4 linked regions of the Astyanax mexicanus genome follow. The protein of the gene in region 2 purifies or fractionates together with the protein of the main gene of each other region. This does not show direct contact. Links are inferred from orthologs where the notes say so. Each region holds a gene or a part of one and is shown on either strand. Other genes may lie near its edges. The genes, in order: pard6a, llgl2, DDB1- and CUL4-associated factor 1 and pard6gb.

Region 1 (8,849 bases), on a different chromosome or scaffold from region 2:
AAGAGTATCACTGTCTTTCTTTGACCAAGAAGAGAAGGTCAACACACTTCAGATTCACTGCCAAGGAAAAGCAGCGAGCCCTGCCACTCTACTATTTACTGCCTTCAGACAATATTTCGAAAGTCAGACCCGGCCGTCTGCCCACATCCGACTCCAGCCCTTGTCTGTCTGAAGTGGCACCGACCACAGCAAGACCTCTAATTTTATAAGATACGAGAAAACAACGAGAAAAATGCTGAATTTTTGCTTCTCCTATTCTTAGCTTTCACGCAGTTCTCATGGTGTGCTGGTCTGACATTCCTTCGGTAGGGAGAGCGACACACCACAGTGAGCCTGGCTGCTGCTTTCCTTTTTGAAATTCTTGGGGTAAACACAACAAACACAACATGTGCAAAAACACCATGGTCAGCAGCAGCTTGTGGTTAAAAAAAATCAAAGCTCTAAAACAGCAATAAGACTAAATGACCAATTCTTCCATCCGTTTATCATGAAAGTTTCACCTCATTGTAAATTGCAGATGAACGTTTTCACTGTATTGATCAATACAGATGTTTAAAACTTCAGCATAATTAAATGGTTATTTTCTGAGAAATTTGATTTGAGGTTGAACACTGTCTAGCATGCTCAGATGAGAAAGGTGACATTAATTACCATATTTTGAAGGGGGTGTAATAGTGGATGCTAGATGGATGGGATATTCAGTTTGGAAGTTGTTCAGGCATTTAACAATTCACAATGTCACCTCTGTAGATAAACACTTAATAAGGCATTACCACCCACAGTAGACAGCCCAAGGGTGGTAATGAACTTGGCCAGTAATATCTGGGGAGAACTGTCAATGAACAGACATACAATTTGGCAGTCTTGGGCATTCTGGAAAAAAGTGGCATGTTACTGTATAAATAATGTCATCCAGCACGACTTGGTGTGTAATACTCTGGTTTAGAGAGCTCACCAGATCTAAATCAGTTAAAACTTATCAAAGAACAATTTCTTAAAATCCACATAAATACATTAATGACTGAGGCACTGTTTACCAACAGTTGTGAGGTTAGATTTGTGACTTTAAATGTACCATTTAATCCACTTACATTGTAGAATTTCACTCTCAGGCAATTCAGTCCCCTAAAACCTTTTCTAACAGATATGCTGTAGGGTTGGGTTATTAATCGAAAAATAATCAATACTGACATTATAAACCTCTGACCGTATCAACCTTTTCTTTTAAAACATTCTGTTACTGTTGTTACTAATACCTTCCTCACTGCCTGTGTGTTTATGTACTCATAAGACTCCACAAAGATAAATCTGCTATGGAAGCCACAATCATCATAATCAGTCATCACTACATATGACACTCAGGAGACTCATTGGTGTGAAGGTCCATTGGTCATTTCAGGTAGTTAAAAAACAGCTTTATTTCAACTGAATCCTATGGGTGTAAGAAAATTATGTCAATATGTCAAAGTAGCACAATATTATGTTTGGCAATACTGTATCGATACTAAACACTGAGATATGTAAAGTTTGGTGTCAGACACTGTTTTTTCACTGCGTTTAAACCATCTGTACTGTCCTTATTGGATAAAAAAGACACCCAAAACAATTTAAAGAAAGCATAGCTACCCAGCGTTGATATAAAAGCTAAAAGACACCTGTGCAGCTGACCAAACATCACAGTGAGAGTCAGGTGACAAGAAAGTGTCATCTTCTCACGGCTGAGAGAATAAGACCATTTGTGCTCTTTCGGATACCGGCTGCTGATGGCAAGCAGTGTGATCCAGGAGTCAGACACTGTTTTTTGCACTGTGTTTTAGTAGATAGCCTGGCCTGAGATCCCTACTGCTCTTATTGAATAAAAAGGGCATGTATATATGTATATATGTATATATGTATATATATATATATATATATATATATATATATATATATATATATATATATATATACATATATATAAATAATTGTATATATGTGTCTAATTGTATCATCAGAATTGTGCCAGCCCGTGCTCTCAGCCCTACTCCCGTGCTCCCTTAGCTGTGAAGAAGCTTGGCTTCTCCATCACCACCAGTGTAAAGACTGGGTAAGACTGGTAGGGGGGGAGCATGTGACCAGTCAACAACAGCCTGGGTTTGTTTACACACGAGAGTATCAGTGTCATAGCGAAGACACTGACATCCAGCCACGGTTTACTTGCGAAATGTGTAAAATTCGGACACTACATCAAACAGTGGAAGACACGTAGGGTACCATTTCACAGTCGAGTGTGTACCCGGGGCTACAGCTTTCTATAGGCGGCAGTTCGGTGTCCATGCTCTGTGTGTGTGTGATGTCCTCGCAGTGCTGACCCTCATCGTTGCTGTATACGGGCAGTGGTTTGATGGCAGGTGGGCAGAATCAGACGGATGGTTGATATTTTACCGCACCGCTGCACGGTGTCCAACATGCATAATTGATCACCGGGGCCCGGTCGCTTCACTGCGCACGAGCGTCCATAGCATCGAGCGTGCGCACACACACACACACACACACACACACACTGCACCAGCACTGCGCTCCACCACCGGGGGGTGTTCTGTCGAGTTGTGCTACCCATCGATACGTGCTTCCTAAAGGCACTGCGCATGCGCTGATCTACACTTTTTATTTCTTTATCGTGTTTCTTTTGTTTATTAAAAAAAATCTATAAAAAATATAACTCACTGTCATTGCAGAAGTGTAGATGGAAACTAATAATAATAAAAAATACAATTATTATTATTTAAAAAAAAATAAGAAAAAGCTGTTTATAATAACCTCTCTTTGTCATGACTTTACCATGATACAGTGATTTATGCTATCCAAATAAACTACCCTACTAACCCACACCTACTGGTAACATGCTGTAGTAAGGTGCTCATTTAATGTTTTTACAGTTAAATATATACTAGGGTAGCACGGTCTGATAAGGTAGCAAAACTTGACAGAACACCGGAGCCCGAGCCGCTCAACTTGGGCTCAAGCCAAACACATTTGTCGTCTTGCACCTAGCACACACACACACACACGCGCACACGCACATGCACGGACACCTAGCTGTACGCACGGGTTCGGGCGCGCACGACTGAGACACACTTACTTTGCTCTTCACCTCCACCACGGTGTCCGTGCTCTTCAGCGGCGTCCTCTGGTTCCTCGACATCGTTAGTAGTGTGTGTGTGTGTGTGTGTTTGTGTGTATTCCAGTCACGGCTCGTTCCGCTCTCTCTCTAAATCCCTACAGAAGGCAGCGCGGAGGGCGCGCGCTCGCTCTCAGCAGCAGTAGTAGCGGCGGTGTTGAGAGCAGCATGGATGGATGGGTGTCTGTCTGTCTGGGAGCGGAGGGCGGGAGGGCGCGCGCAGCTCTGTTCGATCCGCAGTACTGGCGGGCAGCGCGAGCTCTACCGTTAGAGGCTGCTGCTCCCGGAGTGGGCGGCGCCCGTTCCCCTTCAATAACAATGACGTAAGCACCCACGCCGTCCCGCCCACGGTAAAGGCACGCCCGCACGAGGAACGTCACCGCCAGGGAGCAGGCCAGGTAGTAGTATCAGCACTTAATAAATAAATAATATATAAAAAAAAAATTCTGATATTCTTTTACATTTAGATTTTTTTTGGTTTACCTTGTTAGACAGGGTTTATCAAACTCAATCCAACCACCCAATCAAAACCTTTTTATTACAATTTCTATACTACAAATGCAAATAAATTGCTATTTCAAATGTTTGAATGTGTGCTTGGTCAGAATATTAACCAAATAAAAAAACTGCAGTCACAAATAAATACATAAATAAATTAATGTATTAATTAACTAATTAACTAGTACTAGCACTTGTTACTAATGTGAAAAATAAATAAACAAACAAATACACTGCCTGGCCAAAAAAAGTCAGCACCAAAAAAAGGTCACACACTAATATTGTTTCCATAAGCTTCTGCAATGTCACAAGACTTATTTCAATCCAGTTTTGCATTAATTTTTTACCAACATTTTGCATTGATTACTATATAACAAATTTGTTTATTTGCTTATATTAAAGAGGTTTCATAATCAGATTAAGGGTGCTTTCACACCTGAAAGTCCGGACCGTGGTCCGAACCAAGGTTCATGTGTTGCTACATTGTATATATTTGGTCCGCTTATTTTTGTTTTCACACTGCAGTTTAGGGAGCGCACCAAAGACCTTTGTGTGATACTCCTACATCCTTTCATCACTTACGTATCGATGCGTTTTCCTTAACTTGACGCTGATTGGTTTTGGAAGGACATGCGTCTGACGACAATTGATTGATAATTCAGCGGGTGGTTCATTCGATGGAAAGCCTTTCCAGGATAAGGATGAAATTAATGAACAGATTAATTTCGTCTACATAGTAGTGCTGCTATTGTGGTTTTTATACCAGCAGCAGCAACTTCAGGCACAGTACTCTAGGTTAGTTCAAATTCGCTAAACGAACGTGCTTGTCCTGAAGCAACTGTATCCACGGCTCATTTTTCCTGCTTTTCCGGTTATTTTGAGAGGGTACTGACTGCAGCCTGCAGGAAGGCGGAGTTAGACGTCCAGTGCGTCCAGCTCCGCCCACTTTGTAAGCGTCATGCCGTCTAGTCCCGCCCACTTTGTTAGCGTCATGCCGTCCAGTCCCGCCCCTGTACGGAAGTAAACAATGTACAGGGCAGTTAGCGGACTTTAAATATAATGTGCCGCGTCGTACGGCTTAAATACTGTGTATACATTACAACCTTGCGAGACTGACAAGGCGTGGCGTGGACAAAGTGGGTGGGACTAGACGCGCTGGACGTCCAACTCCGCCTTCCCGCAGGATGCAGTCAGTAGTAGCTGGTTATTTTTCTTTTCTGCTGCCGTTGCTGAGGAACGCCTGCTCAGCTTCCTGTAATTGGTCCGAAATTTCGAACCATCCAGAAAAGCGCTTTCACACTGCAGGCGAACTGGACCATGGTTCAAAAGATCCGGACCGAGACCACCTCTCTTGGTCGGACCAAAATCTGGTCGGACGGTGGTTCGCGGCCCCTTTCACACCTGCTAATTTGGTTCGGACCAAACTAAAAAGTACGAAAGTCCGGACCAAGCGAGGCAGGTGTGAAAGCACCCTAAAAATAGCACTTGCTTAATTATCTGAATGCCCTTTCTGCAAGATTTAAAGCAACGTGCAACCCTACACACATTTAAATGGGCTAACGTTTTAGGTTTTTTGTTAAAGCATTTTTCACCATTCACTACCAGAGGAAAAAGTTCATGCAAATCAAGCAGTTGCTTGGAGCTCTGGTCATAGGTCAAATACAACAGACATCAAACTGTGTAATTTTGTGTGGGCTTTGTTAGTGGATGAAATATCACTGATGTTGACATTAGCCCTCTAAATATGCCAGTAGATGAGCATCAACAATTTGTTTGGTTCTCTTTTAGAATAATTTTAGCTATAGTATGCCACTGTACAGTGCCCTTGTTTAATTTGGTGGAACTTAATGTAACTCCATCAGTTCGCCATCATGCAAAATATTGCCGTGTTCATGTGTTTCATCAAACAACAGTTGTTTGAAGGGCATGTATACAAACATGATTATCGAACCAACAATGCATTAAATAATGAATATCTAAAACAATAAAACTACATATATTAAATAATATTGTCCACGTGGCTCTGCAAAGCAAAATAAATTAAAATGAATTAAATTGCCAAAATATCACGTCCACATTGCATTGTGATAGGCGTATTGTGATGAGTACATAATGATGAGACATCTTTAAAATACAAGGAAGTCATGTGTATAGCGCTAAAAAAAGAAAAGTGGTTCATTATGGTATGATGTTCTGGACCTTGGATTTAGAAAACATTATTTTAACAGGACATTAATGAGAATTGATTAAATACTTTTGTTCTGTGGAGTCAGTCAAGGAAATCTTGGCAGTGTCTTCTTTTAAGAATGTAGGCCACAAGTAACAAATAAAAAAAGAATAAATAAAATCTGAATTAAAGTCACGCAGCAGCTTGTCTTAGGAATTCTGTCTGATTTGACATGAAAGTATCTCCTAGCTTAGTGATACATAAGTCAGCTCACTTCAAAACCTTCTCTCAGTTGTTTCTCACAGTGTCTATAGCTGGGAGAAGAGTGAAGTTTAAAATCGCACAACTGCTACTTTTAAATGTGCCAAACCTTTTGTTTATTGCAATGAGCATCAGTGCTTTTAAATTAGTTACACTGAAGAACATTTAATGTGACAAAATGTGAAAATAAAATATATGGAGCAGAAAGATACAATACTTTATGAAAGGGTTCTCAATCATCATGTTCATGTGGGGTTTACATGGGTGGAACATGGGCTAGGTGGGTTCAAGGTGGGCATGGCTCTGAGTGGGTGTTGATGTTTGAGATGGGTGAGATGTTTTTATTAGAACCCAAATGTACTTCAGAAATGAGCCACATCGTCACATCCCACCTTAAGAGGGCAGATGTTTAACCGCTCCTGGTCCCATCACTGACATCCATATGTGGGAACAACAAGGAACCTGTGGATAAAACTTTCTGCTTCCCAATCGGGCTACCCATACAGGCCCCACCTGGGCATGTTATCTGGGTTGTTTTTTATCATAGAGACAAGAACACTGTCTCATTCACACTCTTGTGACCATTCATGGAGGGACCTGCTCTGGAACACATTCCTCAGAACTAGCCCAAAATACCTGAACCACTTAATGGAGATGTCCTTCATTTCAGTACATATTGCTTACAGGACTGTGCATTACTAGCCTCTGTGAAGTGTAGTTGCTTAATAGATGTCATAGATTTCCCTTTCTTTAATATTCATATATATAGTTTTTTTTGTTCATCCATCTAAACTTATACAGTATAAACTTCACAAATGATGATTGGATAGTGCTGTATTGTATGTGTGGTTTCTTTATCACTTAGGCAACAAAGAATCAGAGAGAACTAATTTCTCTGATTCTCTGAAAGCACAAAGTTTGCTCATTACAGCCTTCAACAATAAAACAAGAAAAGCACAACGCAATCATATAACCAGATAGTAACCAGGAAGGTAGTTTGGTTAAGAAAACTCAATGCATTCATGTTTAGATGCAAAACATAATTAATAATATAATATAATATTTTTTTTTAGGTAAAATCAACAGCCACTCAAAACCATGTTTTTCAGTATTGGCTATATGAGTTATAATAATATTAAAAATGTGATGTCAGGGCTTAATTTAAAAATAATGAAATACCAGAACATGGATTGGTTCTCAATTCAATTTCCTGCAACAGGCCAAAAACATTTTATTCCCACCCAGTCCCACCCCACCCACTTCCTCTCTCAGCTCATCAACAAAGTCTTTATCATTAATAAGGACTTTTCGGAGAAGGTCACGGGTGCATGGACTGCCTCACAGGTTTGTTGAGTTTTCTTCTTGTCATTGTTGTCATGTGTCTGTCGGTCATGTCAGTAGTATGATGACCTGTTGCTTTGTTGTTTGACTTATCTCTACATCTTTCAGTTCTTTGTAGATTAGCCATTAGCATGTGCGCTCTCTGATCATAGACAGCAGGAAAAGGTTGTCTGGCCATGTGTGCAGGGTAATTACCTCACTCCTCAGTACACTCATGTATAAACAATTTCACCTGTCAAACCAGATCCTCCTCAGTGAACCCTGTTAAAGAGCGTGGTCAGTAATTAAAGGAAGAATGTACTCATCTTCAGTCATCTGTGAGCCTCTGGTGACTCATGGCATTTTCGTTCAAGGTAGGCCCTTTTTTTCTTTTCTTTTTTGAGAACGTGGATTTGTTTACATCATTTTTATTTCTTGTAAATGTTTACTCTTGAGGACAGTTTCCTGTAATTGTCTGAACGCACTGTTCCGTTACCCTCACTGCTAAAGTTTTAGAGCACATACAAGGTTTCGTCCAAACAGAAGAGCATGTTAGGTGTGAGTTCGGTGAGAGAGTCTTGGTTTCCAGCTGTAGAGGTGAAGGATGCTTAAGAATGTGAGCTATTTGAAAGAGGTCTGCTTGGCAGTAAAGCCGATAAGATATGCTTTACTCCGTTCCCGCTCCACCCTACTGACTGAAGCAGCCGTTCACTAACATACATTTAAGAATGAGTGTCTTCAAAATCCAGTCTTTAATTCTACTGAACATAAATGAATCTGTAGCAGTAGTACACAGGACTCAGGACTGTAAGTCTACAGGAACTGTATTCAGTTTCTTGACTACAGTATATTTTGTAACATTTATGTCTCAAACATAGATATGAAACGTCAATAGAATGAAATATCTGCTATAAAAGTTAAGTTGCCAAACTCACACTGTCACAAAAATACAAGTATTGTCTCACAGTTGGGGCTTTTATTGTTGAATGGACCAGCTTTCTCCTCATTTAAATTTGAAATCTCTGCTATTGTTGCACCAAATATTTGGGAACTGAAATTATTTGGGAGAAAATGGCTAAAACATGAATAAACATTATAAGTGAGAATAAAAAGTAAAAAAAAATACCTAAATGATTTATACCGCTCAATAACTAATTTGATAACACGTCACAATAATGCTCACAAATAACAGCACTAGGTAAGACAATTTTAAACATTAATACATTTTAAAGCTTAAGAATGTTGTGAATAATAATGAATTAGAGACATTAAAAATAAGAAATTTAACTGGAGTCAATTAATAATTGAGAGAAATTTAACTGGAGTCAATTAATAATTGAGAGAAATTTAACTGGAGTCAATAAATAATTGAGACATTTTGTCTTAAGTGCTGTTGATTAATACACCCTTATTATAAAGTGTTACCGCTGATTTTAAGTCGTA
Region 2 (8,424 bases):
ATAATCAAGAACCCTTTATGTCCCTGACCATGTGTCAAACCATTTTATCCCAGAACCCAAACCCTACTACATTCTTTTGAACAAACATCTTAAGATATGTAAATACATGTTTCAAGGTTACCATTATATGGCGATATATGTCTACAAGTTCAGCTTCACAGTAAGTGTGGATGTTGTCTGCCCTAGTTTACCAAAACAGAGTCATTTAGTCAAATGTAAACATCTTTAGGTGCAAAGACCAAACAATAAGCGTGTAACTTAGTCCCTAGGGCTGCACTTTCACAGGAAGTATGTATGAAAAGTAAACAGGACATAAAAACACAAATTATGACATCAGACTTGGCCTTAGCTTAGAAGTTTCATATGTAGGTACAGTGGGTTCAACATCATCTACTGACTAATTCTGCATACACTCACTCACAAGGCACTTCATTTAAAACATCTATACTCTTATTGAAGGGATGGTACATCTAGAAATAGGATCTCCTTAAAATCTCCAGAACTGATGACTTGAAGAAAGTCATCAGTTCTGCTGATTAAATCACATTGTTGATGAGAAAGTTCAACTGAGAATGGGTAGGTAGGTTTGAGCTGACAGAAACGCTACAGAAACTCAGGGAACCACTCTGTACAATTGTGGTGAGCAGAAAAGCATCTCAGTGCACAACACACCCAACTTTGAGGCAGATGGGCTACAACGGCAAAAGACCACATCAGGCTTTACTCACAGACAAAAAAAAAAACTGTACACAAAACTGAAGACATAAACATGACCTGGTCTTGATTTTTGCTAAAGCATACAGATGGTGTGATTATTAATGTATATAAACAACTTGTCTTGTGTCAACAGTCCAGGTAAGTGGGTATACACACAGTAGTATACACACACGTGGTGAACATTTTCTGTGCATACTATGAGTCAGTTAATTTCAGTGAATAAGTGCTTCCCTTTGTGGCCAAAATGTATCCCCTTTGTAACTGTTACTTCCACAATGTCAAAAAGCTAAAATCATATCAGACTGGCCTCATGAATGAGCAGCTTTGGGATTCACAGACTTACATGCACCTGTATAATCAGCAAGCGGTGTGTGAACAATGTCAACATGAACCAGAATTTAAAAGGAATGTTTCCAAGACCTCGAGGAATCCATGTTTTGAAGAATTACAGGCCCTACCCTGTTCAAGTTTAAGTAAGTGTACTTACTTACAAGCACTTTCTGAGTGTATATCCAATATTCAACAGGCTGAGTAACAGCATTTTTAATCTCCTGACCAGGCCTACACCCGCATGGGCGATCAGCCTCGGTCGGTTTGCATAACGTATGACACGCATACGGCAACAGAGTAATATGAGCAGCTCTGAGGCGGATGTGATTGTCTTCTTGCTCACTCAGACCTGACAAACCGGTGGAACAGAAACACCTTACCTCATCCACTCCGCCCCCAACCCAGAGCTGAGTGAGTGAGTGGCCAGCAAGGGTGGGCCAGAGAGTGAAAATCCAAACCAGGGTTTTGTTTCACCTGCCTGAGTGGGATTTCTTTAACTGAGCTTTAGCAGTGCAGTCTAGGTTTGTGTAACGATTATTAATTACATTTTCTGACTGTTTTAGACTAAATGAAAAAAGAGAACATTTTATGTGAAAAACTCATTTCATTTTTTATGTAGTGCAGTGTACTATTTTTTTCCAATTTTAGTTTTTCTCTGCCCCTCTATATATATATATGTAGCTATATATAGCTATATATAGCTACCTATATATATATATATATATATATAAATATATATATATATATATTTTTTGCATTTTGTAAATAAATAAATAAATGATAAATGAAATTAATTCAATAAATAAATTGAAAAAGCATAAAAAACATTTCTTCTTCACTATACTGAATGAAAAAAATTTGTTCAAGTAATTTATAAGTATTTTCGAACTTAGCTTGACACGGTCAAAAAATTAAACTGCTAAACGTTACACTAACCCACTCTGGGCAGGTGGAACAAAATCGTGGGATGGAATTATTAGTTATGTACTGGACCTGGATTTGACACTTCTGGTGGCTTGTAGCTACGTTTTAACATAAAAACAGGGAGAGATCTAACTAGCAGCTAGCTAAATAGTTAACTAGGTTACTTTACTACAGACACGCCTCACTAAACCAGTTACCTAGCTAATTAAACTGTTGCTCAACAGATGTGCTAACTAGCTAGTTAGCTAGCATATAATTATATTAGCATATAACTATATTGGTAGTAGGCTAACGTGTCTGTAAGTTAAATCTAATAGCGAGCTAATTAAATGTCTGGATTTGTATAACCTACAAGTTTATACAATCCAAGCAAATAGCCCGTCGTAAACCTGGTAACTATGAAAACAATCTAGTTAAGGTACCTAGGTAACTAACTAGCTAATAATAATAATAATAATAATAATAATAATAATAATAATAATAATAATAATAATAATAATAATACTTTCCTTGAGCTTGGCGTCTGGATGAAGGTTAGAGTTAGCTAGTTTCTGTAGCTACCTGACCGCACGGAAAGCACAATACAATTAAAACTAAAGGTTTAATCACATTAAATCCTAGAGAGTTAAATCAGTTAACTAGCTAAACTCTGATGAGTTAAAAAGGCGACTTCTCAGCAAGCTAAGCTAGTTAGCTTAGCTTAACGATCTAGCCAACTACCAGTCTGAATGGGTAGCTACACACTTCTATCTCTTTAAAAGAAAAGCTCTCCTGCTGCTAAACACAGAACCAAGATAATTAGCAAGCTAGCTAATTAACTAGGTACATGAGCTAGCTAAATCTTAGCCCCAAGCACCTGTAGCTAGATATCCAGCTAACCGAGCTTTAGTTGAGCGGTGAGCGGAACCAGGCGGCACCGCGGCCCGTCAAAAACTCACCTGATCCGGGGCGACGCTGTTGTCCCAGCGGCTCTCCTCACTGTTTACGGATGTTGGGCCACACTCCTAGGACTACTTTTCTTTTCTTTGAGGGGGAAAACCGCCGACTCCGTACGTTTAGGTCAAAGTAACACACATATAAAACCTAAAGTTAACGCAGACACATACAGTTTCTCTCAGCTTCCAGATCCCCACTGCAGCCTCGCCGTTTCCTGCGGCCCCAGGCCCGCTGAGAGTGGAGGACTTTTACCTCCAGCCAGCGCAGCTACGGATCTCTTGACTGCAGCTCAGGCTCCTCCCAGCACTTCAGCACACAGAGCCGGGGAGCGCAGCCCGTCCGGCAGGGGGAGAGAAAGACCAGCGCACAGATAGACACAGAAATACTGGAGCTTTTAATATTTAAAATCATTTATTTATATGAGAAATTTGTTGTAACAAAATATTTATTATAATATTTATTATAATATTTATTATTTTAAGATCAACTTCACAGTATCAAGATAAAAAAATATTTAGAGACATACTGATTTATTAAATTGAATGAAAAAAATATTAAAACAGAATCAACTCTTAAATTAAGGGTGAATGTAAAGTCTCAAAATATTATTTTTCTACCTTTGTACTTTAAGGGCTCCACATGAAGGCGTTTACAGCAATTAAATTAATTTCAGCATGTGGAACCACACAAATAATAATAAAAAACACTATTATGATTACTTATTTACAGTGTTTTGTTTTATTCATCAATCATTTAATACCTTAACAGCCTCTTTCAATTGGTTTTTGTTTTTCATTTTATTTAAGATTTATTTAAAATTTTAATTAAAATTTATTACATAAAAATATTTTAATCACAATCATAGTACAATTCTCAATCCTGTTAAAATTATCTGCAAAAGGGCAAAACATGCATATTAGTCAGAAATTATAAACAACATGCTAAATATAAGAATTCTAAAGTGCTATGAATCATAAAAATTGTATTAGTGTTAAGCTTTTTCATATTTAAATTTCACTACTGACAAAAATTGTAGATGAAAAAAATGTAAATAATTTGCTATGCCTCTCTAGTTTCAAATTAATTTAACAGGAATAACAATTGTAATTCTAGGCTCATTCATTTTTAATATCAAGCACATGACCTCATGGGTGGTAAGAAGACTCTTAGTAAATGATTATAACAGATAATCATTTTGTACTCATATTAGAACATCTGCATTATATTCTGAAAAATATCTTTACATTTTTTTCCTTCATCATTCTGACAGAAAATCAGAAAAGATGAGAAAAGCTATTTTTATCAGTTTGGCACTGATTATGTGCATAAGTAGAAAAAAGAGATGCAGCAGAAATCAGATCCACTGTTCTAAACCACACTGCAGGAACAGTTTTAACTTAAGTGTTAACTCTTCATCCCACTGAGGACCCGAGCTCCTTCTGATGGCGTAGTAATGTAAAAGGTGGGACGTCCGCTGTATTTCTCCTGTGTGTAAAAAAAAAAAAAGTAAGTTAGAAACAAAGGGTAGAATAAAAAAAAGATATAAAAAGCAAACTGCCACGAACCTGTATATGTTTTATGGTCCTCTCAGTGGCATCAGCCTGAAGCAGCGTTACAGTACATCCACCAAACCCTCCACCTGTCATCCGACTTCCAAAGACTCCATCAACCTCCATTGCTGCAGCTACCAGTACATCCAGCTCTGGACAACTGACCTCATAAAGATCTCTGAAAGTAGACAATAATCGAACTATTCAAGTGTATTAAAAATTTAAGGGGAAAAAAATATAAACACACTGTTAAAATTAGATGGTTTGAATTGTAAACTAAAATACAGGCCACTCATTTTCTGTTGCAATTTTTTTTTTTTTTTTGCTGAATAACTGAGAATGTTGGAAACAAAATAACGCATACTATATAAAATGTACCATAACTTTTGTACATGCCCCTTAAATTAAACAAATACAGTAATTGTGTATTCAAATGTGTGCAGAATGTATCATCTGTTTTACAAAAAAAATCACCAAACCTTTACATCCAAATTTAGTCTAACTGAATATTTTTCAGTTTTCTTCCTAACTAAACAGAGTCATAATGAGGCCAGAAATGTAAACATTTAGATGGGATTAATGAGCATAGTTTCTGTAAGATACATTCTTTGGAAAGTATGCTACATAGTACTTAAACTTGATTTTTTTCAGGCTATTCATCAAATGAATAAACCAATTAAACAATCTAATTTTTGTTTGGAGTTGCCATAAATTGTTCCAATTGTTTACCAGTTTGAATCTTCCTGCATATGATGATCCTAATAGAAAGTACTGTGTACCTGAGAGAATTGTGACTTTCCACCATTAGTCTTCCAAACTCTGCATAAGCCCCCCGTTTGAGTGCATCAGCTGCCTGTGCCGTGCGTGCAATCTCTTCAATCACATGATGTGCTCGCTGGTATGTCACACTGTCCATTCGGTCTTTGGCATCTACAAATAGTTGGATTATTTTAATGCATACTCACAGTCCCACAAATAATAGAAAAAAACATTTCTTACAGCTTCTACAATTCTTACCCTCCAGATTTTGCATTGTTGCATCTCGTAGACTGCTCTTGCCCAAAATGGCTGCTGCATTCTCACACTGTTTTCGTCTGCTGGGATACTCACTTCCTGTTAGTGAGTGCCTCACGTTGGAATTGGTGATGAGGATGACCAAAGCTGGATCAGCCAGAGGAACAGGAGTGGCCTCCAGAGACCTTAAACAGACAAACAGTGACATTACTTAACAAACCACTGGCAACTTTTAAGCCTACTACATATATCCAATACAGTCCATTAGTTATTGTCCCAGTGGTGTTCCATCAACTGGTAGACAGAACAGTATTTGAAAGAACTGTACCTGCAGTCAATAAGCAATGCATGACCCTCCTTTCCCAGCACAGAGACAAACTGGTCCATAATACCACAGGGTACTCCAGCATGGGTGTGCTCTGCCTGCTGACAAGCTACTGCCTTTGCCACTTTATCCCCATCATCTGTTCAGAGAATGTAGAGACTGTTGCATTAGCAGGTTGACAAACACTTATGTCAGCTAAATTAAAGTCTGTAGCCGATGACCAAAATTAATATTAATCTTTTTAAAGATAATGTATGCATGCATGATGTCAAACAAGCTCAGAACATCACTAACGTATGACACATGTGTTCCTACCTGGACACAGTTGCTGAAGGAAAGTGTACACTGCCACTTCTAATGACGCTGAGCTGGACAATCCACCCCCTAGTGGAACACTGCTGGCGATCACAGCTTTAAATGCAGGCAAGGGTTGTGCTGTGTACAAACCAAGTCATACATTCAATATGTAAGCTGATATATGGTCTTTATTTCAAAGCAGCTTAAACACAGCCTCTTCTCATTCCCTGTTAAGATAAATCTAAACCTTGTGGCTCATTGTCTAAAAATGAACCATTAACAGTGTCCCAAAGCCTGAGCTGTTGTAGGTGGGCTGCAGTTCTCAGTTGCTAAGTCAAAGAAAGAGTGTTCTAAAGAGAAAGCCATATCATGTTGAGCCAAAATTTGGAGTAATTTAGAATACACAACTGATGTATCCTTTATGGCACTCAATTAGATGAAAACTGCAGAAAACAATGCCTCTGGAGGAGAATTTAGTTCTGTGAAGATATGAAAATCACATGAATATCTGCACCACAATGTTTCATAGGTCTAACTAATAGACTACTGATATTGAGCCGTCATAGAAGAAGCCTACTGAGAACCCGTTCTTTTTTGACAGCAGCCTAGGCTTGGAGATTCATCTATTGTGGTCATAGTTTTTCATAAAATGTTTTAGCCTGTGGGGCTAAAGGTCCATCAGAAGGGGTAGGAGATATTTCAGCTCCACTTTTCAAACGTCATCATGAAAACAATTTTATATACACTTTCTTATTATATTTTCAATCTTACATAACATCTACAAGTTGTCAAAGACAGAGTAAATGTCCTGTAAATGTGCCATGCTGTGCATGCTCATGAATAAAGGCAATCTGTAAAACTCCTCAGGGTACCTCTATAGTGTTGTACCACCCCTTTAACATAGTTGGCCCAGGCTGGCCTCCCTCTGGTCAGGGGTGAACTCTCGGTCGGCAGATCGAAGTCCACTCTCCTCGGCTCATCTGCGGAGTCAGTAATGGTTTCAACTGAGCAGCTTTGGCCAGAGGTGCTGCTGCCCACTATAACTGTAACCAATGGCAAAGCCTGTGATCAATCAGAAACACAGCAAAATAACTGTAATGCAAATATTATAAAATATCACAAAAAAGTACAAAAAAGATCAATTGTATAAACAAACAGTTAAAACCCACAGCATGTAACTTAACTAATTAATTAATTTTTGAGTTTTGTGTTAAATGTTGTCAAATTTGCCTTTTTATTTCTGTTTTTTTTGTGATGTTCCAATACACAAAATAAATAAAATAAACCTGTGTATAACGAAACATGTAATTGAAATCATTTTTTGGGAGAAATACATTTTCTGGAACAATTTCAGGGTTGCCAACACTTTTGTCCATGACTGTATGAAGTGTTGTATTGTCAGATAATGGATAAATAAACATGACTAGAATTTTAGAAAGTTGACAAAAGTTAATCAATCTCATAAATAAAAGGGTATGCTATGGTATGACCTAATGACATGGTAGTGAACATGCTGTTTTTCATATATAAACAGTACAACCTTTGGAAAACATTGTAGCAACGTTGTCAGAAAGTTGTGACTATGTGTGCTGGCTGGTTGGTCTACAGTCTAAACTCTAGAGTGCAAAATATTACCAAATATCATCTAATGAATTTCTGTTTAGAACTAAATGTGCATTAAATCCTGAACTATTTAATAGTGAATGCTCTTCTGCTTTACCATTGGCAGAACCAGTCCCTGGTTGTAGTCAGTGTGCTCTCCTATCAGGTTCACCCGCCCTGGAGCACACACAGCCACCTGCGCTTCTCCCCCATAACTCCGCTCATAAACACGGAGAGCAGCGGCGAGCAGAGCCCCCACACCAGCCGCAGACCCCTCTCCATCCATCCGCACACAGCGATATTAACACTGATCACTACTATACGCACACGAGCTGATCAGTGAAAGAGAAAACTTCCTGTATCTCAGTGACTCTGATTGGTTTAAAATGGTCATATGATGCAGTACAGCGTGACTGCGGTCAGATCCTGTTTCAGTGAGCAGCTGTGAACTACATAGAGCACACTACCTTTTTTAATACTAGCTGTTGTAAAGTTTGGCCCAATCCCATTTTTTCTTTTATACCCCAACCCCTTGTTTTGGAGTAAAATCCTCCACATAGCGCACTAAAGGTTGACTACCTAGCTACCTACCTAATTAACTTTAGAGCATTGCAAGTCTTAAGTAAGAGGGCAGTAAGTGCAGCAATTGATTATTATTGTCCATTCCTAAACACCTCTGTAATTGGGAGCCGAAATGAGCTTTTATATTATTTATTTTTTATTAGTTCC
Region 3 (7,768 bases), on a different chromosome or scaffold from region 2:
AGCTAACCGACCAGCTACACTCACACCCACAGCTGAACTGACTGAGTTAGCGAGCTAACTAGCAGTTAACTGTCTAACTAACATAACTGGCTCACTATCAGCCACCTCAAGCTAGCTAGCTAGCTAATCTAGCTAGGATCGCTAACCTGGCGTTAACTCCCTTAACCACAGTGCTAACGCTTCACATTTTAGCAGGTTAAACCTAAGCTAGTTAACCCAGCTTCTTAACATCTGGACTCGTTTATATAAGACTTATTCATAGAGTCCGACGGTCACTTCATCCACCTGGCTGGCTATATTCCAGTTAGCTTGGTTAGCTAGCTAACGCTAACAACACCAACCAGCTCTGTGATAGCTGTCATTGCAGAAGCCTAGCCACATGCTAACTGAGCTAACCACTTAGCTTAGCGTGCTGCCTGTACGTTAGCCAGCGGGGCTCACCTCAGTCCTGCCCCAGTCCCGCGCCCGGCTCCCTTCACTCCCGCTGTACCCGGGCGGCTGCAGTCAGGCGGGCTGAGCGCTGCGGCGCCGCGGCTCCGCTCTGGCTCTCTCTCGGGCTCTGAGCGCGGCTTTGTCAGACCGTTTACCTCCACACAGCCGCGAGCATGAAGCTGATCATGGCGACCACGTTCCCGGCGTCACGGTACGGGCGACCGCTGTCGGCCTTTAATGATGCAGGCGTTGTTTTCGTTTGCGCGGTGAACACAGGCCGCGGATTGGTCGGCTCTCGCGACGCCTTAAAAAACAGCGATGTTTGAGCAGAGACGGTGTTCTGTCGAGTTGTGCTACCCTGTCAAACCGTGCTACCCTAGTGTGTGTTTTACTGTAATAATACAACCTATTAGAACATGCTGCATGCAGTAGAAGTGTCGGTATGATATTAAGCATAGCCTAAATCGCTGCATCAGGATAAATGAAAGGCAATATAGGGTGATTAAAATGTATGTATATGTATTTTTTAATCATATTTTAATTACTTTTTTACACGGTTGTAACACTCAAGTAAACGATGACTGTGAGGCAGATTGTACAATGCACCCGATAAAAAATATATCATGAAAAAATACTACACAAAACAGTGAAAATTAGAGTTTCAGAGCCACTAAGTAGCACATGTCGATGGGTAGCACAACTCGACAGAACACCAGTTAATGCAGAACCTGTCTCCTCTCCCTGTTATATCAGAAAAGATGTCAACCGCAAGAGGTAGCCCGCGAGAGAGACCAGAATAAATTGGGGTGAATGGAGCTAAATGGCTAAAAGCATAAGTAAATAAAAACTACTTGTTCAGGTTTTTCCTTGAATTTTATAAAGCAAAGGAAAAAGCAGAAAATTATTACTTATACGTTTTTATTTTTCTACCCTAAACGGAGTTTAGGCAGTAAAGCCGGTAGCGTTTTTGCTACTACTGTGCGCTGATTGGTTTGTGTGCTGATGCGGGACTTGGGTTCAAAATTTCTAACCATAACTGGAGTTAAAAAATTATATATGCAACACTGAAACAAAATTGTTCAGTGATGAGAAAATAAAGGCATATTTCAATATATAAATAATTAAACATCTTTAAACTAAAATTTGCTAAGCTTTGCTCTAGTTTTTTGAATATGTAGTTTGTAATAAAGATGTAAAAGTCTCAAATATCCCAGATAAACACTTAAAATTACATAATTAAATATAATATAATTAAAATAATATGTATTTGTGGCACAGTTTATGCACAAATGATGAACTAAAGACTGCCACTGCCATCACATTAGTTGCATTAGACTGTCTCCAGGTGCTTATATATATATACAACTTGAATTCGACAAATTATTATTTTTTTGCAATTACTCTATTAACAGTTCAAATCAATTCTATATAGTATATTTTTTCATATTATATCTAGTTTTAGTCATTAAAATTATTTTATGTCTGTCCCCATGTTCTTGTCAACTTTAATGATGTCAATTTTAGTGGAAAGTGACTTATGTCAAATTTCTATCTTCATTATGTTTTATAAAATAAAATATTGTGAAATTAAAAGAGCCCCTTTGGTAACACCATGTCAAAAAAATAAATAATAATGTGTGGTCACGACTTATGAAAACCTGGGAACATGATAATTACATTTTGCGGATGACTTAATAAGGGTTGGGAATGAGATAATTCGTGGGGAAAGTCATGGGGAAAATGTATATGGCCAGGACTTAAGTATCTCGTTTCTACAGCTTAATAAAACGTTTCCACAACTTTTGAAAAAAAAAAAAAACATTCTTTCTTTATTTGTGGCTACATACCGTTGTATTGTGATATCTATATATTTTACACATGTACAATGTCAATTAAAAGTTCTTTAACTACTGGCTATATTAAAATATATGTTGCAATATTTGCATGCTAAAGCTGTAATTTAATAACAAATAAAAAAGTACACATAATAAAGTACACTACATATTTACCCTACAGAGGACGCAGAGTCATTTTGAATACAGCCTGTATACTGAACCGATTCTTTGTCATATTGAATCAACTGATTCAAAGACTCGTTGGTTGACGTGTCGTGTGAATGCGCATGTTCTTAGTTTCCAGTGAGGTTAGGAAAGAAATACATTACATTTATTTACAAAACATCATTGATAAAATTAATAAAGCATAGATAAGACAGCGGATAAAAAGTATGGGTCAATTTATTTCTGATTAATTCATTTATTATTGTTACGTATACCTATTTTATTAATTTAACTGTTTCAAGCTCAAAATAAATCTATAAAAGCTACTATTTTATTTTCATCCTTGGGTGCAAAATGTTTTGAACCATCCCTGTAATAAATAACATTTTTTAATGTGGATCTGGAGTCTGTGTGAATCGGTTCGCCTGTTTAAATGAACAGAACCGGATCAGCAGAACCGCCCGAAGATATCAGTGCATGGAACATTTGATAGATTGTTTAAGATTTTAAGGTAAAGTTAAATGAATGATAATATGTTTAATATACAGTAATATTATACAATATAAATATTTTCTATATTAATTTAAGGAGCAATTCATACTAACAGATTAAAATAAAAATTCCTAGTAAAAAAAAGGTTTGTAGAGCTTTCTGTATATTTTGTCTCAAAATGTTTATATTTTTATAGAAATGTATATATCAATTTATAAAATCTAAAAGAGAATGTTAAAATGTTAAACATTTATTTAGTTTATAAATATCAAATCAAATTTATAATTATATATTTATATTTTTACTTTACAGGATTTTTTTGCTGCGGTGGGCATCCCTTATTTTCATTTCTGAATGGTGCCAACCCTAGGTGTCGGTTCGGCTGTTAGAATAAAACTGAATAAACAGTATAAGACAGACAGACAGACAGACTGAGCTCACCTGGTCTTCTGGGAGGCCGGAATCGTATCCGTAATATCATTTTCTAAGGTTTGCTGTAATTGTAGTGAGAGCTGGAGTCCCATAGAGTCCCGCAGAGTAAAGCTCAACATTGTTGACTAGTGAGAGCTGGAGTTCAGAGATAATCTTAATCACTCAGCTGAAGCTGCTGTGGGAGAGGGTGTGGAGATACAGGAGCTACAGTAGGTCTGAGATGGTTCACCTCACACATTACTTGACTTACTTACTCTCTCTTAATAAAGAACACTCGCTACTTACTACTAGCTCTTGGCTATAGGTATGGGTTCATTTTTCTAATATGGACGTATGATAAATGATTACGTATTTCCATTATTATTGTGATAATGTGATAAAAAAGCTGCTATAACACCTTGAATAACAGCAAACATAAGCTACGTTACCCATATGCAGCAACAGAGGGAACTAGCGCTTTACATTTGCAGCCTGTGGTGACAAAACTGGGCTAAAGGTAGAGTGAGGTAGAGCTCCACAGTGAATGCACACATGAAACTAATTACACTTAGGGCGTTTTCACACCAGCACTATTTGGTCCGGTTAAAACGAACTCTGGTCCGTTTGTAACTTTAGTGCGGTTCGATTGAGCCGGTGTGAAAACAGTAATCGCACTCGGGTGCGGATCAAAAGAACCGGACCGAGACCAGCTAGAGGAGGTGGTCTCGGTCCGGTAACAAACGAACTCTGGAGCGGTTCGCTTGTGGTGAGAACGTGATCCGGTCTCGATCGGATCCAGCTATTAAATATAAGCCATTTATTTGAGCTAAACTGCTGATAAAGCAAGCACAGTTTAAACTGATATATTAGCCAGATAACACTAATTACCACAGCTGTGAACAAACACTGTGTCCATGCACGCGCTGCATTCACTGCTCTGTTTATTATGTATAAATCTGCGCTGCATTCACTGCTCACAGTCGCGTGACTCTGTTTATTATGTATAAATCTGTGCTGCACGTAGAAACACTGTGTTTGAAAGTGCAGCGTTTCAGCGTTCAGTGTTAAAGCACAGATTTTGTGCTGGAACACAAGATCTTCTCGCTGTATTTACTTTTTCGTATATTTATATTTAACGTACTCCCGTGTCAGACAGTTCTGACCAATCAGAGGACACAGGCTGCTCGCGTGGTTTATTGATGCGCATTTTGGTGCGTTTACATTTATGCCTGTGTGAAACCAGACTGAACAGAGCAAGAAAACGCTCCAAGTAAACAAACTCATTAACTGATTCGGACCAGAGAAACCAACTACAGGTGTGAAAACGCCCTTAGACTTAGAATGGGTACAATTAGTACAGCCAAGTCAAGTGTACGTTAACAACCTTTAATGATTTTAAACTAATTTTTAGTGTCTTAATTAGTTAATGTTAATAATGTTCTACATCGATCTTAGCACATTCAGCAGTGCTAACAGTGCAACATTCTATTTTTAAGAAAATAGAATATAATTTTTTTTAGTTATTTAACTTTTTTGTTAAATAAAAAAGTTAAATGTGTTTATTCATAGTTTTGATGCCTTCAGTGAGAATCTACAATGTAAATAGTCTTGAAAATAAAGAAAACACATTGAAAAAGATAAGGTGTTCCCAAACCTTCTGGCCTGTACTGTACATCATCCATTTCTGCACTTTAGGCCTTCAGGAACACATTCCAAGTTAGAACTTTGGGTACCACTTTAAAATAAGACTACCTTCATAAAGGGTTTATAAATGTTTACAATTAGTTTATTAATAGTTACTAATTAGGTTGTAAATGCCTTAAAAATCATTAATAATCAGTTATAACACATACGTAGAAAGGGCAACAATATAGATGGCTGTGAGTTCACTATTGGACAAAAAACAGGTCATTGTTGTCCTTTTACGTATGTGTTGTAACAGATTATTAATGACTTTTAAGGCATGTACAACTTAATTATTAACCATTAATAAACTAATTGTAAAACATTTATAAACCCTTTATAAAGGTAGTCTTATTTTAAAGTGGTACCGGACTATAATGTAGCAATGAATTGTTTCAGGTGTTCATTTATCAACGTATTTTAACCTCTTCTTTCACATACATACATTTTTCATTTGTTTGGCTTGTGGTTTTGCATTGTCTTGTTGAAATATGCCTGGCCTTCAGGTGGGTGTCTACCAGACACTGATTTGGATAAGTAAACAAACATACAAACAACAAACAAAATATGTATTTACCATGATTCAGTTTTATTTACAAACTTAAAAAAAAAAAAGTTCAAAAAAAGAAAAATCAGAGAAAAATCAGGTCAGTTTGATTTGAGTGCTTTCAGATTGATCTGTACATCTGACCATTTCACCTTAATGAACAGAACACAGATCTGCTCCTCACACCCAGCCTTTTCTCGAACAACATCAATAAATACCTCGATTCAAGTAAAGAGTAGTAAGCAAAGGACATGGAACGCTGGGGCATCGTTCACATCTCAGCCGTGACGCTCTGGGAACATGGTAGAGCTGTCGGCCTAGGTCACTGCTTTACTCTGGAAATACAAGTAACCGCACTGACCACAACTGACCCTTGTTCATTGGTCCATAAGCTTTCACATGCTTTAGCCAGGTGGCAGTCATACACACACACATACACGCACACACGCACACCCACACAAACACACACACACACACACACACACACACACACACACACACACACGCACACACACACACACACACACACATCCCTTCAATCGTTTACAGCTGAGGCATCTTTCTGCGAGAACGTGAGCCCCTCATAAAAACAAAAATGTACAAAAATAAAAAATACAAACAAATAAATACACATTGTTATAAATAAATTAATTTGGTAAACTGACAAATGGCAAAGAAAAAGAATAAAAACAGGTACGTTTATTCCGTACGCAAAGAATGATTACATATTGGAAAAAAAGAGAGATAAGAGAGACGCGATAATGTACGATTCAGATGTTTCTGGAACAGTTGTCCAATCTGCTTCGAGCGCAGGGGACGTCAGCGTTTCGCCCCGCTAAAAAAGAAAAGCAGGGAGAGTAGCAGAGCAGTGTGGGGTACGGGTGGGCCTGAGCGGTACATTGTCTGTAAATAAAGCAGATCAATGCCACGTATGGATACAGAAATGAGGCGAGATGGTGTCAGCAGTATACAGTTTACTGTATAGTACCGTTTGTGCACAAGCAGTGCTCATATTTGGTGTCAAAAATCAGATGACTTGTGGAATTCTCCCAAATTTACAACCAGACAAGAAGCGAGTTGTCTGATTATATCCTTGGTTGCTGGATACTGGAATGAAATTTGGTGGATTTGGTTTAATGGAAATTATACACTCTTAAAGATAAATGTGTTTAAATGGTTATTTTCTTGTGATTTCAGTTTTTGCAATTGTGAAGTAGCATTTTTGAGGGTACTTAGGTATTTAGCCCCTAAAATACACATAAATTAAGAGGGTAAAAGCTAGATTGCTACCTCAGGGTCATGCCAAGCCAGTTACGCATATGCTTAAAGAACTGGACAGCTCAACACACTTGGAGGAGAACACTAATGGCCTATTCTGTTACGTCAAGGCCACTTATGCTTTTGAACATAGCACTTAGACTGTTGCTCCACCTGGAAGTGCTTGGAAGTCCATTCCAATTATAGTGTTCATCTTTAAGAGCATACTCTATTTGGGAAACTTGATTGTTTTGGCACACATTTGACGTCATTTTATCATTTGATTTTGGTTTGACTCAATTCATTTTCATACATTATGGAAGAAGCGTTGTGACGTTTCAGCCACTGAAGTGTCAGAAGCGGGAAAGGTTGGGGTGAAAAATTACAGGAGTATTACAGGAGACAGTGACCCACATAAAGAGACTAGGCAAAGTCTGCACATCTTAGCTCAGCTTGAGTAAGACTTGGAGTGAGATGTAGGCATTAGGAGCAGTGCTCCTGAACCCTGCAACCCTCACCAATACATTCAGTGAGACAGCAGCACAAGGCATCAGTGTTTAGTGTACGTTCTTTGTATCAGTCGCCACTCTATTCCCAAGTAATTTAAAAAAAAGAAAAAAAACTTTCACACATTTCACACATTTCTTTGATCGGGACTAGTTCCCTTTATCCTGTATCGTAGTAGGCTGTAAGAGGGTTCACCTGCATGTGACCAGTGTTCACAGAAGAAACAGTTAAAACACCATTCAACATTACAGAGATTCAAAAAGGAGTGGCAAGCGTATTCACACACGTAAATGAATAAAGTCTTCAGTCTAATGTCTGTGTCTAAGGCCTGTGCTTGCAACACTGTGGTAAAGGCGGGAAGTAAAGATACATTCTTATGTTTTTAAGGTCTTCTGTTAACATTTTCTCTCTCTCTCTCTCTTTTTTTTGTCTTTTTAAT
Region 4 (8,294 bases), on a different chromosome or scaffold from region 2:
AATGTTGCTACTTAACCATTTCTTCTAAATACTGTATTTGTAATATTGTGTTAATTCAGAGTAAACCTTAAAATGCATTGTAACACAGTGTGTAATGTTAACAACTATGCTGAGCACGCAAAAGGAATGTTATATTTATATTGACCAGTTAAAAAAAATAAGTTTTATTTTTCCAAAGAATAAACTGTTCCAAATCAGCTTAGACTTAATATCTTTGGAATACATTAACTTGTGTTAAAAGTTGAGTGTTTTATTTTGTCATGTAAAGTTACCACATTAAAGATATATTTTTTTGGACAATTAAAAACATTATCAAATGCATGAACAAATATTGTGACAATCCCTTCTGTCATGGTCAGACCCTAAACTGGACAGTACTTCAGAGCATTTATTGTGTTTTTTCAGCTCCTATCCTTCAGATGAGCTGCATGAAGAACTATATAACTGTTTTCAGTGGAGTAACACTGACATCTAGTGCTCTTTACAGAAGCTGAGCAAGTAGGGGGCGGGGCTATATGTACAACTACTCATCTGCCACTAGACAGAGAAACAGACAGACAGACAGATTTAATGATCGAAAAGGAGAATTAGGCAGTCAGTTGCAGGTTATAGGGCAGTTACAAGTGTAGTGTAATGCACAGTATACTGTAGTGTATAATATTTAATGTTTTAGTTTACAGTAATAGTTATGTTATTAGTTTGAGTATTGAACTTGCTGTATGCTGTTATAGAGTCAGTAACAGGTTAACTAACAAGGCAACAAGTTACATGCATAACATGTGATGCACTACATTATTTTATATCTCATTAAACATAGTTAATTGATGCAGTAATGCTTTAATTCATTACTAGACCATTAGGTAGCTCACCTGGTAGTCAACACCTACTTGATTAATTTTAAGAAATAAACATAATGACAGATACTAGATATTTTCTTTAGTTGCACTTAGTATCGTCCTTTAAGGAAACAACCGCAAACAAAATTGCTAAACAATAGTTCAATTTTTTTAAATAAGCTTGTCAATTTTGTAGAGTCTATATGTAAAATAATTGTAAAAAATAGCTGCAAGAGAGTTTCATTTAAAATACCACTAATTGTCAAGTACACTCTAAGACTGAAAAAAAAAAAATAATTTAGAAATTTCATATTTAAAAAAAAAAGATAATTTGTTGAAAACTTGAGTTAATTAGACTTAAAATGTTTAGGTACTATCCCTAAATTGTAAGTTTTTGTTAAAGCAATTGCTTTGTACAATAATCCTACTTTAAATGTTATTGTCAGGTAGTAAAACAGAACTTTCCATATCTAATGTTTGGAAATATAATTATATGTAAAAATAGAACATATTTATTTGAGTTCAGACTGTTTTTTGGTTTATAGTTTATTGCATTTTTCTCTATATAATTACTTAATTGGTTAATTCATGACACTCCTTTTTTTCTGTCGTCTTCATTTATAGCTTTCCCGTCCACTGTCCTTGTCCATCTTCCAGCAGCGTGACAATTGTCTTGTATAGTTAAATTGGCCCACATTTTTTGTACTTTCACTGCACAGTTTTTTTCTTACATATTCACATAATCACTGTGTTTGATATATTGTGCAATTGTGCATAAAAGTGCATAAACATATCACTCCAGTAAATATCCTCTTTTAAGACCTCCACTTGAGTAAAAGTACAAAGACTAGATTTGCCTTCAAATGTATTTAAATATAAGTAAACATAGTCTCTGTCTTATTTCACAAATCTTTTAATAGAATGTCATCAATTATCATATATTTTTTGGTCTATAAGGCTGACTGAAATTATTCCAAAAGAGCATGGACAACTCATCCAGGAGGTCACAAAAAAAACAGAACTGCGGGTCTCACTTGCCTCAGTTAAGGTCAGTGTTAATGATTCAATAATAAGAAAGAGACTGGTCGAAAATAGTATCCATGGGAGAGATCCAAGGCAAAAAAAAAAAAAAAAAAAAAAAACAACAGTCCATTTCAAATTTGTAAAAAATCTTGATAATCCCCAGGAATTTGGGGAATTTTGCTGTTTTACCAGACAATCCTAAACACACTGCACTGACACTTTACAAGAACAAATACTGTTTACAAACACTGTCACTTTAAACCGCACTGAGACACTTTGTCCTGTACTGCTCTAATTCCATTATCATGCTGCTATAGCAAAACTTGCACTCTGGACTTCATGTTGCTGCTACCTGTCTACTCTGCCTATATTTTATTTTTTTGTGTATTTATATTTATCTATTATGTTCTATTCTATTTTTATTGTATTCTTTTATTTTGTTATCTTATTTTATCTATATATCTATTTTAACAACAGCTCTTGGTTGTAAACTTGAGATCACAATTTCGTTACACCTCATGTACCACATGTGATGCGAATGACAATAAAATCTCTTTGAATTTTTTAATCCTTAAAGGAGAATGTCCTGCCATCTGTTCATGATCTCAAGCTTAGGCGTACTTGGCTTCTGCAGCAGGACAATGACCCAAAGCACACAAACAAGTCCACCTCTGAATGGCTTTAAAAAAAAAAATGAAGGTTTTCGAGTGGCCTAGTCAAATTCTGTGGAATGATCTTAAACAGGTGGTTCATGCTGGAAAACCATCCAATGTGTCTGAATTAAAACAATTCTGTAAAGAAGAGTAGGCCACTATTCCTCCACAGAGATGTGAAAGACTCATTGTCAGTTACGGGCTAAGCTTGATTGCAGTTGTTGCCACCAAAGATGATTTGGATATTTTTTTTCCTTTAATCTTTCTCTAATATTAACGTTTGTTTGATAATCTAAAAAAATATCAGGATGACAAAAAAGCAAAAACAAAAAAAGTCTGCAGGGGGCAAATAATTTTTAACGTCACTGTATATATATACATATATATGTATATATATACAAAACTTCCTTAATAGGAAAAAATGTGATGAAAACATCCATTATATTTGTTTGTTGACTTATTTACACTTACTGTTATATTAAATACGTTTATTTCTATTGAAAATAGAAGGTCGGTAACAGTAAAATCTGGAGAAATATTAGCCCCCTCTAGGGGACAGAAGAGCATTGCATGCTATTCACACCACCACTGTGATTTATTTCCTAATGAGCTTAGTTTGGCAAGTTTATTCAAACTTTTGCTTCTTATTTAAGCAGGAACATTAGTGTACTAAATTTCTAGCAATTAATTCAGATTAAAAGTATCTTAAACTAACGCATAAAACGTCGGCTGTTAGAACTTTGCTCTATTCTGATGCTGGTGATTTTCCGTGGTTTAACCGGTAGAACAGTTGGAGGCGCTGAGAGGACGGTGTTAGGGAGGTTAAGCTGGCGCCTTCTGGCCGCACCAACACAGTAAAATCCAACAGCTGATGTGTAAACATCACAGCACACTGGGTGGTGGGTGGTTTCACTCAGACCAATGGGATCATGCTCAGCAGTGTCTGGTAGTGTCTGGTTTGAGCCCAAAGGTAGGAAAGAGGAGCCTTAAATCAGAGCCAAGAAAATGTAAAATCATGACTCAACTAGAAAAAGAGAAATATATAATAAAAGAGCTTGAAAACAGTTAAAAAACAAACAAACAAATACTTAATTTCCAGTGAACACTCAATATCAATATTTAAAAACTAAATTATTATAATTCGAAATTAACCTACTAATAAAAGTATTTAACAGCTTTTAATCCACAAAAATCCTTTACTTCAATAAAAATAAATACTTTCTCACATTTGCAGTAGTTTATTGTTAAACGCAAAAATAGCACAAATTTTGTACAAATGTGTCTAAGAAAAAGTAACGCCGTATATTCCAGTTTGGCAGTTATGAACTTTAAAATAAACTTGTATTCTTTTTTTTAAAGAACCGAATTTTTTAATTACCGTCAGCAGGTGGCGCTACTGTTGGTATGTGCGGCTGCGATTGAACGTTTTTGTTTTTTTAACCACCCGTTTTTCGGACACACCACGCCCCCCGTGCTCTCATTGGCTACTTGGTTCAAACTCAATCCGCCCGACCAATGGGAGAGGCGAGCAAACAATAATAAATAAATAATATATTCCGAAAACAAAATAAGTTTCAAAAAGCGTAGCTTTTATATTAGTCTCACTTTAGTCATTAACAATTACATTTAATATATTTTTTTTGTATTATTGCTCAAATTTGCAGTACAACTTTACTAACTTTATATCAAGTTTCTTCTTGTTTTTTTGTTTTTATTTTATTTTATTTTTTTTTCATTGCTTCTTAATTTTGGATACCTATTTATTTGTTGTCATAATAAATTATTTATAATTCATACGAGATCACATTTATATTTATATACCATTTATATATAGATAACTGTATGCATAATGTTACTGCAAAAAAATGCATAAATAAAACAAACTTAGCTAAAATACTAAAGCGGCGTCAATGGATAGACAAAACCCCGCCTCCATCGAACCAAAGGACCAATCACAATGCCGAAGGCGGGATATTTCCACGAAAATAGCCAATCACGTTAAAGGGAGCGTTTTCTGAGTACGGGTACGGAGTACGGGTGTGAAGCCAGTTGGAGGAGCTGTGGCTGAGTTCATGGAGAGACACGGTGGTGATGTCATTCAGTAAAGTTAAAGTGAGTGTCCCTGACTGAGACGCTGCTTTTGGGCTCTGTAACGCTTTTATTTTTCTGTGAAAGTTTGCGAGCTGCGGTGTAGCGGACTCCCCGAGGACTTCATGCTCCTGCACACCGAGAACTAGTGGGAGTTTGTGGGATATAGGCGCTCGTCTTCTCTCCCTCGAGCCCCCGAGCCGAGGGTCGGGCTCAGTCTGGGAACTTTGGAGCTTCAGATCAAAATGAACCGCAGCTTTAATAAATCGCAGCCTTTACGGCCGCTGGAGCTGGACGCGGTGGAGGTGAAGAGTAAGGTAGGTCTGGAGGGCTTTGGGTTTAAAAGTACTGTGTTTACTCTTCTTAAAACACTGGTGAAATAGTGTTTTTTTAAGTAGGTAAAGGTGGGCTAATGTAGCTAGCCCCCATGTCAACTCACTAACCTAACTAATATTAGCTCTCTGCTCTGAGCTGTCCTCCACTGTGTGTCTTCTGACACTCAGTATTAGTGATAACTACTTTTCATCACATACCTGCTGTTTCTGAGTTAATATTTGGGGTGTTTGAGTTGTTTATGCTGCATCTACAAGCAGCCAGACTGCTAGCAGAGTAGCAACTAGTGCATCTAAATAAATAAAGTAAATTGATTATCATTAAAAAGTTACTTTATTTCACTAATTCAGTTAAAAATATGAAACGCATATGCTATATAGATGTATTGAACACAAAGTGACCTATTTTAAGAGTTTTTTTTTATTGTTGATAATTATGGCTTACAGCCAATGAAAACCCAAAAATCATTTTCTCAGGAAATTAGAATATTATATAAGACCTATTGGTACTTTTGGCAGTGTGGGCAGTGTGTCAAGTCCTGCTGGAAAATGAAATCAGCAATCTCCATAAAAGTTGACACCAGAGAGAAGCATGAAGTGCTGTAAGATTTATCTGGAAAACAAAACTGCACTGACTTCTGACTTTATATAACACAGTGGATCAACACCAGCAGATGACATGTCTCTCCAAACCATCACTAATCATCAGTAAATTTTGCATTTCGTTTGGAAATCAAGGGACCAGAATAGAGTGGAGAAACACAGTTCAAGCTGCTTGAGGTCTAGTGTGAAGTCTCTACAATCAGTGATGGAGAGCCATGTCATCTGGCAATCTACTACTGAAAATCTAAGCTTACTGTAAGTAAATGAAAGCGCTTTACTTACACAAATTAACAGTTTTCAGGAGAGAAATCTGTGTAGTTTAACACCCATTGCTCATTTTACTTTAAAAGTAAATGTTTTGCTTATATGGCAACACCCTTGTTCCTTACTATTGTCACCTAAAATGTGCCTTATGTATGGAAAGAGACCAGAAAATAGACTTTCATTGATGGTGTGCCTTATTATAGTCAGTATAATACAGTAGTCTAAAACAGCTCTTCTGACAACATCTCTCTCTTTAACTGTAAACTTGCTTTAACTGTGCAGTTTGGGGATTTCCTAGACTAGGAACACACACACTTATTGAACGGTTGATTTGAATCAGGTGCATGAGCAGGAATATCTCCAAAATGGACTTGAGCCTGTCCAAGAATCCCCTGGAGTAAAGGGCCCACTGTCCAGATGTCATGTAGATTTCTTCTATATTTTGCTTGCAGTGTGTATCTTTTAAACTCATCTGATTGTTTACTGAACCCTTTTCAAGGGCAGGTTTACAATCACTGGTCATCCTTTAGTGTTTGTCTATCTAGTTCAGGAGTGGCAAGGTCTTTTGAGATATTGGGCCACATCCAAATCTTTCCATTTTTTAAAAATAAAAAAAAGCATAACATCTAGAGATGCATGATGATATCAGAATTATATCACTATCTGTCGATAATTGCTTTTTTAAAACCGATACTTTCTCTCTACATTGACTGCACTACTACCATTGATTTTAAGCTCATTTTTATTTATTTTTATTAGCTTTAAAGTTATACCAGGGTGTCCATTCTCTCTGTAAGTTATAAGTATATATATCGGAATTGGCAGATAAATACATGTGTAATATTGAAAATCGGCATTGACATTGGTGCATCTCTAATATCATTCTTACACTATATACACAGCAGACAAATGAAAAAAAAAAGAACATAACTGTATCACTGACTGACTAACTACAATAATTACAGCCTCTGTCAAAGCTATAATACACTACATCCTATATCCAAATGTTTGTGAACACCCCTTCTATGCACTCAGCTACTTTAAATTACTCTCATTGCCGATAAAAATGTGCAAATGCACACGCTGCTTGTCTAGTCCCTGTAGAAAAGAATTGGCAGTAGAGTCAGACACTCTGGAGCAGATAAAAATGAACCTTTTGACACTGTGCCTAATACTAGACATGGACTAGAGGAGTTTAAATCCTCTCAGCATTTAGTTATGGTGCAGTGGGGTTGTATTCCCTGGGAAGCAGATACAGTTTCTCTTCCCCAAAAAAGCAGGATTTTTAATTTTTAATTAAATAATAATTTTTAATACCCTTGATTTCAGAAATAACAGTAAATGAGCAAGTGTTGTAATACTGTTGTCCATATAGTGTAAAACAATGCAAATTAACTTTATCTAGACCAGTTTCAGAGTTTGTTTTGACTCTGCAGGTGTGCATTGTGCTAGATATCATTTCTGTAGATCATTAAGCCCTACGTTAGTGAGGCAACAGTCAGAAATACTGTAATTAGTATTTTTTAAATGAATTCCCACATGGTGTGACACACCAAATGTGTAAAAATTATGTTGTGCATTAAAACACAGTGAAAGCTTTTAAACGTTAAGTGGACTGAGGCAGTGTTCTTACTAATTCAGAAGTCTCGCAGGTTTTAAATTGGTTCTGCTGTTAGGTTTGACTGTGTTTTCCCACATCTAGCTAAATGGCTGTCTGTGTGTTCATGCAGATTAGAACCTTGATCGGACCAGATCCAGCCCACTGTCTGTATGTTGACCTGCGTGATCTGATCTCTGTCTGTCTGCTGCATCTGTAGCGTATAGTTGATTGTCACGCACTCAATGTTTGGCCATTGGTTTTTATTTTAAATGTGTGTATTATTGCAGTGGAGTTTCTCTTCTTTTTTTTAAAGATTGTCTGTGGTAACTGTCACTGATTGTATGTTATTGATGTGGCATGGTTTGCAGGTGCCTCAGCTATCTGCTCATTCTCACCATGTAGAGGAAGAGGATTATTTTCCTTCTTCTGTTTCTTGCAGCAACATGTCTTTAATTGACTGATATTTCAGAGTAGTTATTTTTCACATTCAACATAGTATCTCAGAATAATCCGATCTCCAAATGATGTACTTGAATTGAAGTCATTATTTTGGTTGCACATTGCTTTAACAACTAAACTATAAACTATAATTCTAATAAAAATGTTTAGAATTCCTATATTTCTGACCAAATAGTTTAAGAGTAAAAGTAATGGCACCTCACATTTTGGTCAAAACTTTGTGTACACATTAGTCAAACACATTTGCATTCCACCACAGAGCTTAATGTTTTTGGACTGCCAACATTTATCCAAATCTTGTTGACACAGCAGTGTTTGCCATCATTTAACCAACCAAAATTTGGAAACTAACAAAATCCTGTGAACAGCATTGATAGAAACCACTTGATAGCAACACATAGCTTCACCTTAGAGACCAGTGGGAACCAAATTAGCT

What was found.
Region 1: the proteins of llgl2 (region 2) and pard6a purify together in Homo sapiens (affinity purification with mass spectrometry; 5 studies listed by BioGRID and IntAct, with this or other methods). This does not show direct contact. The link is inferred for Astyanax mexicanus from reciprocal best matches to the Homo sapiens genes LLGL2 and PARD6A.
Region 3: the proteins of llgl2 (region 2) and DDB1- and CUL4-associated factor 1 purify together in Homo sapiens (co-immunoprecipitation; 3 studies listed by BioGRID and IntAct, counting the BioPlex papers as one, with this or other methods). This does not show direct contact. The link is inferred for Astyanax mexicanus from reciprocal best matches to the Homo sapiens genes LLGL2 and DCAF1.
Region 4: the proteins of llgl2 (region 2) and pard6gb purify together in Homo sapiens (affinity purification with mass spectrometry; 4 studies listed by BioGRID and IntAct, counting the BioPlex papers as one, with this or other methods). This does not show direct contact. The link is inferred for Astyanax mexicanus from reciprocal best matches to the Homo sapiens genes LLGL2 and PARD6G.

The regions. Positions count from the first base shown.
Region 1 is NC_064416.1:25,813,399-25,822,247, forward strand, and holds the start of pard6a (partitioning defective 6 homolog alpha), read right to left. Parts: upstream 3,453-8,849; 5' UTR 3,185-3,452; coding exon 3,122-3,184; intron 1-3,121. UniProt on the Homo sapiens protein: Adapter protein involved in asymmetrical cell division and cell polarization processes. Probably involved in the formation of epithelial tight junctions.
Region 2 is NC_064422.1:31,516,847-31,525,270, reverse strand, and holds the start of llgl2 (LLGL scribble cell polarity complex component 2), read right to left. Parts: upstream 3,200-8,424; 5' UTR 2,910-3,199; intron 1-2,909. Other genes in the region: galk1 (galactokinase), read right to left, coding at 4,312-4,392, 4,473-4,635, 5,237-5,387, 5,475-5,656, 5,800-5,935, 6,112-6,231, 6,966-7,155, 7,814-7,981. UniProt on the Homo sapiens protein: Part of a complex with GPSM2/LGN, PRKCI/aPKC and PARD6B/Par-6, which may ensure the correct organization and orientation of bipolar spindles for normal cell division.
Region 3 is NC_064419.1:10,125,279-10,133,046, forward strand, and holds the start of DDB1- and CUL4-associated factor 1, read right to left. Parts: upstream 3,463-7,768; 5' UTR 3,406-3,462; coding exon 3,366-3,405; intron 670-3,365; exon of another isoform or gene 442-669; intron 1-441. UniProt on the Homo sapiens protein: Acts both as a substrate recognition component of E3 ubiquitin-protein ligase complexes and as an atypical serine/threonine-protein kinase, playing key roles in various processes such as cell cycle, telomerase regulation and histone modification.
Region 4 is NC_064410.1:36,207,736-36,216,029, reverse strand, and holds the start of pard6gb (par-6 family cell polarity regulator gamma b), read left to right. Parts: upstream 1-4,562; 5' UTR 4,563-4,845; coding exon 4,846-4,917; intron 4,918-8,294. UniProt on the Homo sapiens protein: Adapter protein involved in asymmetrical cell division and cell polarization processes. May play a role in the formation of epithelial tight junctions. The PARD6-PARD3 complex links GTP-bound Rho small GTPases to atypical protein kinase C proteins.